2 linked regions of the Drosophila melanogaster genome follow. The protein of the gene in region 2 interacts with the protein of the main gene of each other region in a pairwise test. Each region holds a gene or a part of one and is shown on either strand. Other genes may lie near its edges.

Region 1 (7,662 bases), on a different chromosome or scaffold from region 2:
GATCTGCGGGCTCAAAATTGATTCTTTCAATAATTTTGATAATAATTCTGCCACACACGCACCACATAAACATCCACGATAGGGATGGAACAAAAGTCGATGTTCACGCGATGCTATCGATGTTTCCAGCAACTCCGTGAAGCGATTATTTCCTATCGCTGGAACCACTAAAAATGGGAACTAGTTGTTTTTGAATTATTTTAATGTTTCATATTCATAGGTTAAAAGGATCATTTAGCAACAAAAAAATATGAAATCAATATTTTTAGAAGGTATTGAATTTTCTTAACTAATTTTATGATTATACAAATAATAAAATTGTGTCGCGAAGAAAACCTCCCATTTCCTTTACGGTAATAAAAAACAATACAAAATAAGTAAAAATATACCTTTCATACTAATCGAAAAGGTTAACCAAGTTGTATATAACTTTAATATTATGAAATTCTCCCAAAACACACATTTCTTTAATGTATGTCAATTTAAATAAAGTTTAAATTGCACTTACATTTTAATACTGTATTATCCAAAATATATATGAACCATATCAAGCAAAACGTGAATATTGCAATGCGAACTCAATTTAATTTCCTTACATCCTCTATTAAAATTATCTTTTTATTAATCTTTGTTTTACAACAAAATACAGACTAAATAATAAGTAAAATATATTATTTATTATATATTCTTATTATTATTATTAATAGCGACCCACGCAAAGGGTTCGATCAAAGTTTACTCTATTTTGTTTTCTTCCGGTTGTTGTGTAGTTTACGTTTTCGTATCGTTTGCGTATCGGTTGTGGTGCGTTCTGTACCGTTTTTTCCGTTTTAGGTTGTGTCTCGTTTGTTGCAGTGACAGATGATGGGGAGAGATGGCTAAAACTAAACCAATCTATCGTTACCGTCACTCCAAATATGTTTGCCATTCTACGCAGTATGATCGATTAGCCTACTATTTACTCATAGAAAAAAAGGGGATTTTAAATGTATACAATTTTAGGACTGGAGTAAATGCACAAAAAGTGGGAGGCTGGGAGGTTGGATCGACACACATTGGAGGGTTCCATACTTCGCTCGGTTTCTCAAAATCGGCGTTGTCTTTCACAAGTATGCTTTGTACATTTTATTCGGATGCAGTATTCTATACACTTACAAGTTATGTATGGACATGCGTAAAAATGATATTTGGAAAGCAAAACCTTACACATATAAAATCGGAAACACGGCGCCCTGGCCTCCTCCCTCCTCTCTGGGGATTGCGTTTCACCCGTCAAAGAATAAAATACAAAAAAACTCTAAACTTGATTGAAGTGATCCCGGAAAGATTGTGCTCTTCATCCGCCAGCTGTTGAACACACTCACCCAAGCGCTCTTCAGTGGCTCCTGCGTTGAAAGCAGGACGACACGGTTCTGCGATTCCCGGCGAATCGTAGACATATTGCATTAAACGCTTTGCATATGGGGCGATTGGGGAAGATGCAGAAGGTTGGGGTGGTGGCGCTGCCAATCACAAGGGCAGGAGAACTCCTTGTGAACGAACGCCTCTGTCAGTTTGGATTGGTGGGTGAATAAGTGAGGGTTATGCGTTTCTATTACTGTCCTGTTTAGTTTTTTTTTTTTAAGTCAGTCGTTTGTCGGTTCTGTCGTTCTGTTCGGTGTACGCTTTAAACTAATTGATAAAACATAGTTTAAACGTTAGTCGTGTTAACTAAATGTTAAAATCTGGATCTTACGAATACGGCGCTCGAGTCGTGTTCACTGTAGCCCAAGCGCTTGGTGTGCTTGAACACCTCGTTGGTGATGCTGGTGACGGGCATGGACTGGTCCAGGTTCTCAGCCATGTTTAACACCAAGCGCAAGTCGCGTTGCATGTGGCTCAAAGGCTGCTGGGGATTGAAGTCACCCTTGGCCATTTCTGCAAAGGAATTCAAAATAGGATAAGATAAACACTAGGAAATAGCCACGGTGCTATCCATACCTTTGCCCTTAGCCAGCAGCATGGGTGATTTCATTGAAGTCAAATCGAAAATGTCTATGATGTCGTTCAGAGAGATCGAGAACCGATCAGCTGCAAAAGCAATAAAAAAAAAGATCAATTAGTTAAGGCTGCTTACTGCTAACAATATACAATAAAACCTACCAAGTGCTAACGCCTCAGCCAACCCGACCAGACTCACTCCCAAGATGGTTTGCAAAATTAGGTTTACTTTGCAGGCGTTACCGATATCTGCTAGATGTGAACAAACGACATATTTTAATAAATTGTTTCAAAGGAAATGGTCAGCAGTGCAGGCTGTACTTACTCCCCAAGAAGAAGGTGTTCTTGGCAATGGTCTTGAAGCACGAGTGGCACTCCTCGAACACTGAACGATCTCCACCGGCGAGAATGATGAGCATGCCTTCGGCAGCCTCCTGCCGAGAGCCGTGAATTTGTGCCTCAAGATAGCGACCGTTGCACTGCTTGATGCCCTCGCCAATGTCCAACGATGTGTCCGGATCAATTGTAGACATTTCAACGTAGGCCTTATTGTTCAAGTCCTTCAACTGCAGAACGCCGCAGTTGCCAAATACGAGCTAAACATCGAATAAAACGAATGCATAAATAAGAAGAATGTTAAATTACGCCATCCCTCCCAGTTGCACAATTATTTTGTATTCTAATATATTTTAATTTTATACAGTGTAAGGAAGATCGCTTTGCAAAGAGAGCGTCAGAAAATCGTCATTTTAAACTGCGTGCTTTCATTCATATGTACTTTTTAAGTTAACAAGCGCGGATGAGTCATTTGAATTTTATAGGAACCCCAAGGCCAAAATTTAAGTTTTGTTAACCACGTTGTGTTTTAGGCATTTCCCAAATTAAATATGTATATAAATGAAACCTTTTATGACTTACATCCTTGGCGCCCTTTGGATCGGACACACAGCAAAAGATAACGTCGGCAGCTTCCACAACATCCATGGGAGTGTCCTTAACCTCAGCGCCGGCTTCGGCAAACGGTTGGCACTACAAAACGAGATTGTTGTAGGATTCATGTGTGAACTTGCTATCGTAAAACTTTACCTTGTCAATGGTGCGGTTCCAGACCACAACCTTGTGACCCGTGTAGATCAAATCCTTGACTATGGTGGATCCCATCATTCCAAGACCCAGGAAGCCGAAGGTCTGCTCTGAAGGCACGATATCGCGATCGGCCAGTGTGTTGGAGCGCGAGCTCATGTCGATGACTTGGGCCTCTGGCCGCGTGACAACCGGTCGGTCAAGCAGAGCAATTGCATTCGGTGCACGCTTGGCAGCGATTGAGGCCAAGAGTGCGTCAGTCTCGACCCGACGTCTGCCAGTGGGCGTGGAGCTGGCTTCATCCGCGTCCTGCAATGCCTCCCCGGAAACATCACGCTTGCCTCGCTTGGCATTCGATGGCCCACTGGGCGACTGTTGGGCAGAGGTACGCCGTTTCTGTGCTGATTTTGCCGATCCCTTTGTCGACTTGACCGATGTAGCGGCCACGGACTTTGCTTTCGGCGTCCGCTTGCCAGCTGCCTTCGTTGTGACCGCCGGCGACGTGACTGGTGACGCTGATGAATCTGCATTGATTTCCACATCCAAGCCATCGCCCTCATCGGGGCTGCCCACCACATGGGCCACCACTCCATTGTTGCCATCGGCAGTTGCTTCCTCTCCCACAATCTCCTCGCTGTCCAGGCCATCCCGGATCTTGTCAAAATCAGCCTCGGTTGCGTGATTCGGCGCACCGCAGCTTTTGTTCACCTGCTCGTCCACCTCGGCGGGGTCGTCGATGTACTTTTCGATATCCGTCATGGCGTGTCGGAAAGCAGCGGGCTTGCTCACCTTGGCCAGTTCCTCCTTCCACGGTCCTTCGAAGGGCTTGATGTTGTTCTCCTCAATCCAGGCACTGTTAAATATTACCCATGTTATTACAGGCGCTTTTTGGGGTTGGCGTGCATTTTACTTACAAATTCCTAGATCCAAAGAAAAACACGCATTTGGTATTCGCCCGACGCTGCTGGCTGAGCAGATCAAGTGGAGGATCGACAATCTAAGGAGAGAAATCAACATTAGCTTCCACCACATCATATCTTTAAAGTCTTCAGAAACATTTTAAGCAGACAATGCATTTTACTCTATAAGGATGTGCCTATGAATTCCCTCGAACTAATCTATTCTGTGATAACCCATTTACAAGACTTTATCACGCACGAAACAAAACATATGCAAATGTTGCTTTTTCACTTCCAATTTCAATCGAAAACCACTCTTTAACTTTACATTTGAGCTAGGAATTATAAGGATTTAAAAATATATCCTCATTTTTCTAGCAACTTGCACAAAACCAATTTGATTTGATAAAACCTTAGCTGAGGTGATTCACTATCATTAGCACATTTCACAAAACTCTAAAGAACCGATTGGTATATCACAAGATTACCGATGAGAATGTTAATGTCAAATAAAAGTTAATATATTAACAAAACTCCTTTTGAACGGCATAGAATAACGAAACTGGGAACTGATATCCTTGGCAACGTCTGTGTTCAAACTCCACGCCTGCCGCGCGTCACTCCCCCTCCTCCGAGTGCACATGCTGCTTTCCAGCGGCTGTACACACGATCAAAAGCTGCTGCTCGTGGCCCCCGATAGCGGCTCCATGGAAGAGACCATTTCCTCCGCCGGCAGCGACAACAGCACAGCGGCAACAACAACAACCACAACGGCAATGGGGCAATGTGTGCAAGTGCGTGGCTGCGGGCAGAGCGGCGGCAGCGAAGCCGGCAGCGTTGAATCGAAAAGTACAGTCGAAAACAAACACAACAACATGGCAGCAGAGAAGGCGGCAGCGACGCGACGTCGACGCGGCGTAAACATTCCGATCGCCAACTGCAATGCTTACCATTCCTGGCCACGGAGTGAAGCCCTTCATTTTGGCCCTGCAAAGAAAATGCGCTATCAGAACAGGGAAAACTCATATTGGCCGCAAGGAGGAAAAGCAAGAAAAAAGGGCGCGCGCGCGAAAAAAGCGCCAACGCAGCGAAGTCGACGTCGCGCGCCCGGAATCCACGCACGTAGCTCCGGAATTATGGTCGTCATTCGGATGGAGCTACATGGATACTGCGCTGCGTGGCTGTCAAAAAGGCAGCGCTAATTGCTTTTTTATGCACACTTCACTGGCTCTTTTTTTCTTCATATTTTTTTTTCCGAGCGCCAACGGTGCGCAATTGAGGTTAGGTGTTTGCTTTGATTTTCATCTCTCGTTTTTTTTTTTTTCTTGTTTCTTCACGGCGCAGCGCAGCTGAGAATACAGCGAATATATTGATGAGTCCACGGTCCCGGCTTACCATATCAGATCCTTGGGTTTGTAAATAAATTTCTCCGTCGTATCGCCGCCCGACAGCGACAGTTTTTTATTCTTCGACATTATGTTGTCCAGGCGTATGTTGAACTTGGTTATTTTGCTGGCTTGGGCGGACGGTGCACGGAAGCTAATGGGTTTCTCGGATCGGAGCACAAATCTCGGCGTCGGGATTCAATGAATTTCGGAGATATTCGCTTGCAGGCCACCCGTATTTTTCTTTTTTTTTTCGCGTTGTGTGTGTGATGCGCTGCCGAACCGATATCTGCTCGAGCAATGCGATAGCAGGCGGGCGCCATTTTGGCTGGCAATCGGCCAGTGCTGGAAAGTGGCGGCGTTGCTACGTCATGCAATCGGACTGCCAACCCGCCTCGAACTCGGTAAATTAATATGGGTTCCGAATTAAATTATTTAATTAAGTATTACAAGTGAATATTATTATCGTGATTCAATGCAAATTCGTAAAATGCACTTGGAATCAATCCATGCTTTTTATACGCTAAATTTTTTTTTAAATACTTTATTTAATTCTAATGTTTAGATGTTAAATACAAAGGCGGGCATAAACTATTGAAATTTAATTCCATAAGAAAATAATTTCATTGATACACATTTTTAGTTGGAGATTATTAATAAATTTTGTTTTTTGGCTTATACAAATTCCGTTTAAGTAAAATAATGATAAAGATAAATTTAATTAGTATTGCACAGTAAATTCTTTATAATCTGTGCGATCTTGAGCTCGGAAAACTAACAGTTAACTACAAGTCCGTCCCCTTAGCCGAAAAATAAATTACCACACGTCCAACTCAATTTTTCTCTGATTCTCAGCACTCAGCATCAGCCATATAATCCTCATAAATATGAAACAATCATATAAAAAGAGAATAAAAAGCGATTGCTGCTGTGGTTGTGGGTTGCGGGGGGTCATGCGACAACCCTGCTCGGTAAAACTTTTCGGGTGACCTGGCAAACAAAAGGGTGAAAAAGGGAAATTGCGGCCGTTAAAGGGGTATTGTATTTGTGCTAGGAAAAGAAAGCGTGCTTTTGGGTTGAATTATTGCATTTTGTTTGGCAATTAGCAGGCGCGAAATGGGTGAGAAGGATTTATTGGGACCAGATTGCCATCAATTATAAGGGAAAAAACGTACATATGTTTCTCTAGTTTTGATCGCATACTCGCTAGCAAAAAAAAAGGGTTTAAGTACATTCATTTGTTTGTGTGTTTCAATTTGAGTTGGGGAGAAATTAAAGTTTTTTTTTTTAAATTCCGATCTGACCATTCCGATAAAAGTTGATATCGAGCTTATCTTAAAGCTTAAAACATCGATTAATTTGGAAGGCAAGAATTAGTTTCCTGCTCTTCTTCATTCTAGCTGTGCAAAAAAAGTCGGTTCCGTTGACCAATAATAGCAAATATTTATTATTCTTACTCAAGTATAATAGATTTATATGTGAACTATTGGTCGTAACTTAACTTTTTTCTGACTTCCAGACGAAAGTGTCTTGAATCTCAAGTTCCGTTCTTGTTTACGATCTTCCAATTGTGCTGACACTTTGAAAATAGCCGCTTCTCTGTTTACAAGTGGGTATGTACATGTATGCGTGTGTGAGCATGTTGTTTGGAATTGGTTGGAATATTGGAAATGATTGCCAATGGAATTCAGTCGGTTTCGCGCATATTGAAAGTTGGAACGTAGGATTTTAGTAATATGTATTTATTTCTAACTAAAATTATGTTTGCTAATTTACATTTGATTTGACTTTCAGAAAATATTGGACTGGATTGCATTTTGGATTGAAGACCCTTAACTTGGTATATTATTGTAAACATAATATAAAATTGTACGTAATACTATTAAAATATCTTTGCAGCTGTTCAACTGAGGCGATGTACAACGGCGCTACATCCAATTCCGATTCGAGTGAGTAGATTCCAAGTGATCCGATTATCATATTATTTTCCTGCATTATCCTTGATTTTTTTTTATGAAAACCACTCACTTTATCAAGGGATAATTTGGGGTGGATCGTATCGATCCAATTGCTTAGACAATTAATACCCTATTCACTTGCGCACATGTTAAAGGAACTCAAATAATGCAGAGCATTTACTTATTTAGAGGCCTTAGAGAACATCTCGGGCAATTAAAGTGTTGATAGAACAACAACTAGCAGCACGCTCCAGTGCCGTTTGTGGAGCACCACTTGCCACACCACAAGGAGGCTGTGGGGTGGAGGCACTGCAGCAGCATCTAGTGCAGCGCAAACAAACAGCAAATAGGCACAAG
Region 2 (3,725 bases):
CGGCAGCAAAAACGGCGTGGAATGCATCTCGAAGGTTCTCAGCCAGCTGCCCGAGCCGATCCCGGCCAGCAATCTAGTGATAGCTCCAATTCACCCAGATCCCGTGGACAGCAGGAGAAGGTTCTGGAAGTGGCAGGCGAAATCGGAGTCCATGGCTCACGTGCAAGCCGCCTGTCAAAATGGCTTGCGCTTCGTTCACACACACACCCGGCAAATGAAAACGCCGAATTGGCCACAATTATCAATGAAAAGTGGGCGAATTCACGCAACGCCAATAGCCCGCACCGTAAACTACTCGAATAATATAGTTGTTACTTTTAAATTTACCATTTTCTCTGCGTAATTAGTCGATTTGTGATCACAGAATTTTCAAATACCACACGGGCGCAACAAAGCGACAAAGAAAATGGAGACAGTCGATGGCTGTTATCGATAACGCGCGGCTATCGGGTAGAAATACCGACAACGGAAAGGTGCTAACGCCTGCATGAACTTAAATACCAAAAATAGTGTTGACACAAACCAGCACTCGAAAGTTTTGCAGTTATCGATATGCAATGCAGGGGCGCTTATTTCAAATAATTTTGCGCGCCTAAATATTAAAAGATTTTGATTTGATTTACTTTATTGAAGTATATTTGCAGTCAGGTAGACATTGGAAGCAAAGGTCTAGCGTGAACTCAGGCAGACTTCTTCAATTTCTTGGCAGCCATCTCCGCTTTCTTGGCAGCCATCTCCGCATTCCTGGTAGCCATCTCCGCTTCCTTGACCTTCTTCATCTTCTTCATCTTCTTCACTTGCTTCTTGAAATACTCCATCTGGTCGGGATCGTACCAGAAGGTGGCCCGCTTGCGGGCCTGCGACCATACGCGAACTTTGCAAACCGCCAGCTCGTAGTCCATGCGATCGGTTAGATAGTACCACTTGAAGCGTGGCAGGAACTTCATTTTCCACAGCAAGCCACGGAATCGGGACGACTTGCCATCGGTTATAGGCTTATTGTTCAGCTCTAGAGCGATTTTTTTGGCCCCACTTTTCGAAATGAACTCCACCCAGCCCTTACGCATGTTCTTCTTTGTCTTGAAACCTAAAGTAATTGAGATAAAAGTTTATACTGGGTAATCAGTGGGTCATTTGTGCATGCCACTTGGTCCACTCACTTGACAGCGTTTCCGGCTGCACGTAAACTCTGCCGACGACGCTGTGCAAGTTCATGATTTCCTTCAGGCAGTCCCCGTCCATGTCCTTGGGTATGTTGGATATTAAGATGACGCCTACCTTGTGCATCTTCTCGCGTTTCTTCTCGGGGGCCCAGGAATTGAAGGTGGCTTTGAAATTGGCCAGCTCCTTTTTATCGTCATTTGAGGGATTTGCTATCCCATTTGCAGACTCACCTTCCTTTGTCTGCGGCTTACCCCAGCGCGCCTCGTCTAGCTTAGTCTCCTCCACTTTCATGGAAGTGGACTTGCGCTTTGGCTTTGATGTATTAATTATTTTTTTCATTGTAGCTTTCGTTTTAGCTGGATCGAATATATTTTGTAATGTACGCAATCAGGTATGACAGTTGACAGGCGATGTCAGTTGACGTTTTTATCGAAGAGCTATCGATGTGTTGGTACCCTTTCATTAGAAAAGCATATCGCTTTAAAAACACTTTGTAACAGAACATTTGATTTACTCAGCCCTATTTTAATCGAGAAATCTTAACCATCCCTGTGCGTTACAGTGGCCTCCTTCAGCTTGAGTAGCTGAAGTAGCATTAACACGCACACACAATCGGCGAAATTATCGATATGCAGGGGCCCTAATTTCAAATAATTTTGCGCGCCTAATTATTTAAAGATTTTGATTTGATTTACTTAATTGAAGTATATTTGCAGTCAGGTAGACATTGGAAGCAAAGGTCTAGCGTGAACTCAGGCAGACTTCTTCAATTTCTTGGCAGCCATCTCCGCTTTCTTGGCAGCCATCTCCGCATTCCTGGTAGCCATCTCCGCTTTCTTGACCTTCTTCATCTTCTTCACTTGCTTCTTGAAATACTCCATCTGGTCGGGATCGTACAAGAAGGTGGCCCGCTTGCGGGCCTGCGACCATACGCGAACTTTGCAAACCGCCAGCTCGTAGTCCATGCGATCGGTTAGATAGTACCACTTGAAGCGTGGCAGGAACTTCATTTTCCACAGCAAGCCACGGAATCGGGACGACTTGCCATCGGTTATAGGCTTATTGTTCAGCTCTAGAGCGATTTTTTTGGCCCCACTTTTCGAAATGAACTCCACCCAGCCCTTACGCATGTTCTTCTTTGTCTTGAAACCTAAAGTAATTGAGATAAAAGTTTATACTGGGTAATCAGTGGGTCATTTGTGCATGCCACTTGGTCCACTCACTTGACAGCGTTTCCGGCTGCACGTAAACTCTGCCGACGACGCTGTGCAAGTTCATGATTTCCTTCAGGCAGTCCCCGTCCATGTCCTTGGGTATGTTGGATATTAAGATGACGCCTACCTTGTGCATCTTCTCGCGTTTCTTCTCGGGGGCCCAGGAATTGAAGGTGGCTTTGAAATTGGCCAGCTCCTTTTTATCGTCATTTGAGGGATTTGCTACCCCATTTGCAGACTCACCTTCCTTTGTCTGCGGCTTACCCGAGCGCACTTCGCCTAGCTTAGTCTCCTCCACTTTCATGGAAGTGGACTTGCGCTTTGGCTTTGATGTATTAATTATTTTTTTCATTGTAGCTTTCGTTTTAGCTGGATCGAATATATTTTGTAATGTACGCAATCAGGTATGACAGTTGACAGGCGATGTCAGTTGACGTTTTTATCGAAGAGCTATCGATGTGTTGGTACCCTTTCATTAGAAAAGCATATCGCTTTAAAAACACTTTGTAACAGAACATTTGATTTACTCAGCCCTATTTTAATCGAGAAATCTTAACCATCCCTGTGCGTTACAGTGGCCTCCTTCAGCTTGAGTAGCTGAAGTAGCATTAACACGCACACACAATCGACGAAATTATCGATATGCAGGGGCCCTAATTTCAAATAATTTTGCGCGCCTAATTATTTAAAGATTTTTATTTGATCTACTTAATATAAGTATATTTGCAGTCAGGTAAACATTGAATGCAACAGTCTAGCGCGAACTCAGGCATCGCTGTCGCTCTTGGCAGCCAGAGCCTTTTCCGCATTCTTGGCCTTCTTCGCCTGCTTCCTGATGAACTCGCTCTTGTCGAGATTGTTCTGGAAGAAGGTGGTCTCCTTGCGGGCCTGCGAGACCTCAGTGTGTAGGCGTTGCTTGTGAACCGCCTGCTCGTAGTTCATGCGCTCGGTTAGATGGACCCACTTAAAGCGCGGCAGGTACTTCATGCTCCATAGCGAGTCATAGAATTGGGACGTCTTGCGACCGGATATCTGCTTGTTGTTCAGCAGTGGAACGATCTGTTTGGCCACACGTTTCGACTTAAATTCCACCCAGCCCTCGGTGAAGTGGATATTATAACGCTTACGCTTGTTCTTCTTCGCTTTGGCACCTAAAGTAATTGAGATTAAAGTATATACACTAGTGGGTAATCAGTGGGTCTTATATGTATGCCACTTGGTCCACTCACTTGACAGCTTCTCTGGCTGTAGGTAAACTCTGCCGATGGCGCCGTACTCGCCCAAGATTTCCCGCAGGCGGGTCACGTTCATATGCTTGGGTATGTTGGATATGTAGATGATCCCCAT

What was found.
Region 1: the proteins of CG6999 (region 2) and Ndf interact in a two-hybrid assay, tested with the Drosophila melanogaster proteins (one large-scale study listed by BioGRID).

Annotation. Positions count from the first base shown.
Region 1 is NT_033779.5:10,001,822-10,009,483, reverse strand, and holds Ndf (Nucleosome-destabilizing factor), read right to left. Parts: upstream 5,653-7,662; 5' UTR 5,438-5,652; coding exon 5,358-5,437; intron 5,175-5,357; exon of another isoform or gene 4,950-5,174; coding exon 4,913-4,949; exon of another isoform or gene 4,441-4,912; intron 4,061-4,440; coding exon 3,978-4,060; intron 3,917-3,977; coding exon 3,067-3,916; intron 3,010-3,066; coding exon 2,899-3,009; intron 2,577-2,898; coding exon 2,306-2,576; intron 2,233-2,305; coding exon 2,143-2,232; intron 2,071-2,142; coding exon 1,981-2,070; intron 1,918-1,980; coding exon 1,718-1,917; 3' UTR 595-1,717; downstream 1-594. UniProt on the Drosophila melanogaster protein: Nucleosome-destabilizing factor that is recruited to genes during transcriptional activation and colocalizes with a subset of trimethylated 'Lys-36' histone H3 (H3K36me3)-enriched regions. Binds DNA (in vitro).
Region 2 is NC_004354.4:9,086,201-9,089,925, reverse strand, and holds CG6999 (uncharacterized protein), read right to left. Parts: upstream 1,560-3,725; 5' UTR 1,456-1,559; coding exon 1,161-1,455; intron 1,088-1,160; coding exon 681-1,087; 3' UTR 612-680; downstream 1-611. Other genes in the region: CCT2 (chaperonin containing TCP1 subunit 2), read right to left, coding at 328-330; CG32706 (uncharacterized protein), read right to left, coding at 1,917-2,314, 2,388-2,682; CG32708 (uncharacterized protein), read right to left, coding at 3,144-3,529, 3,608-3,725.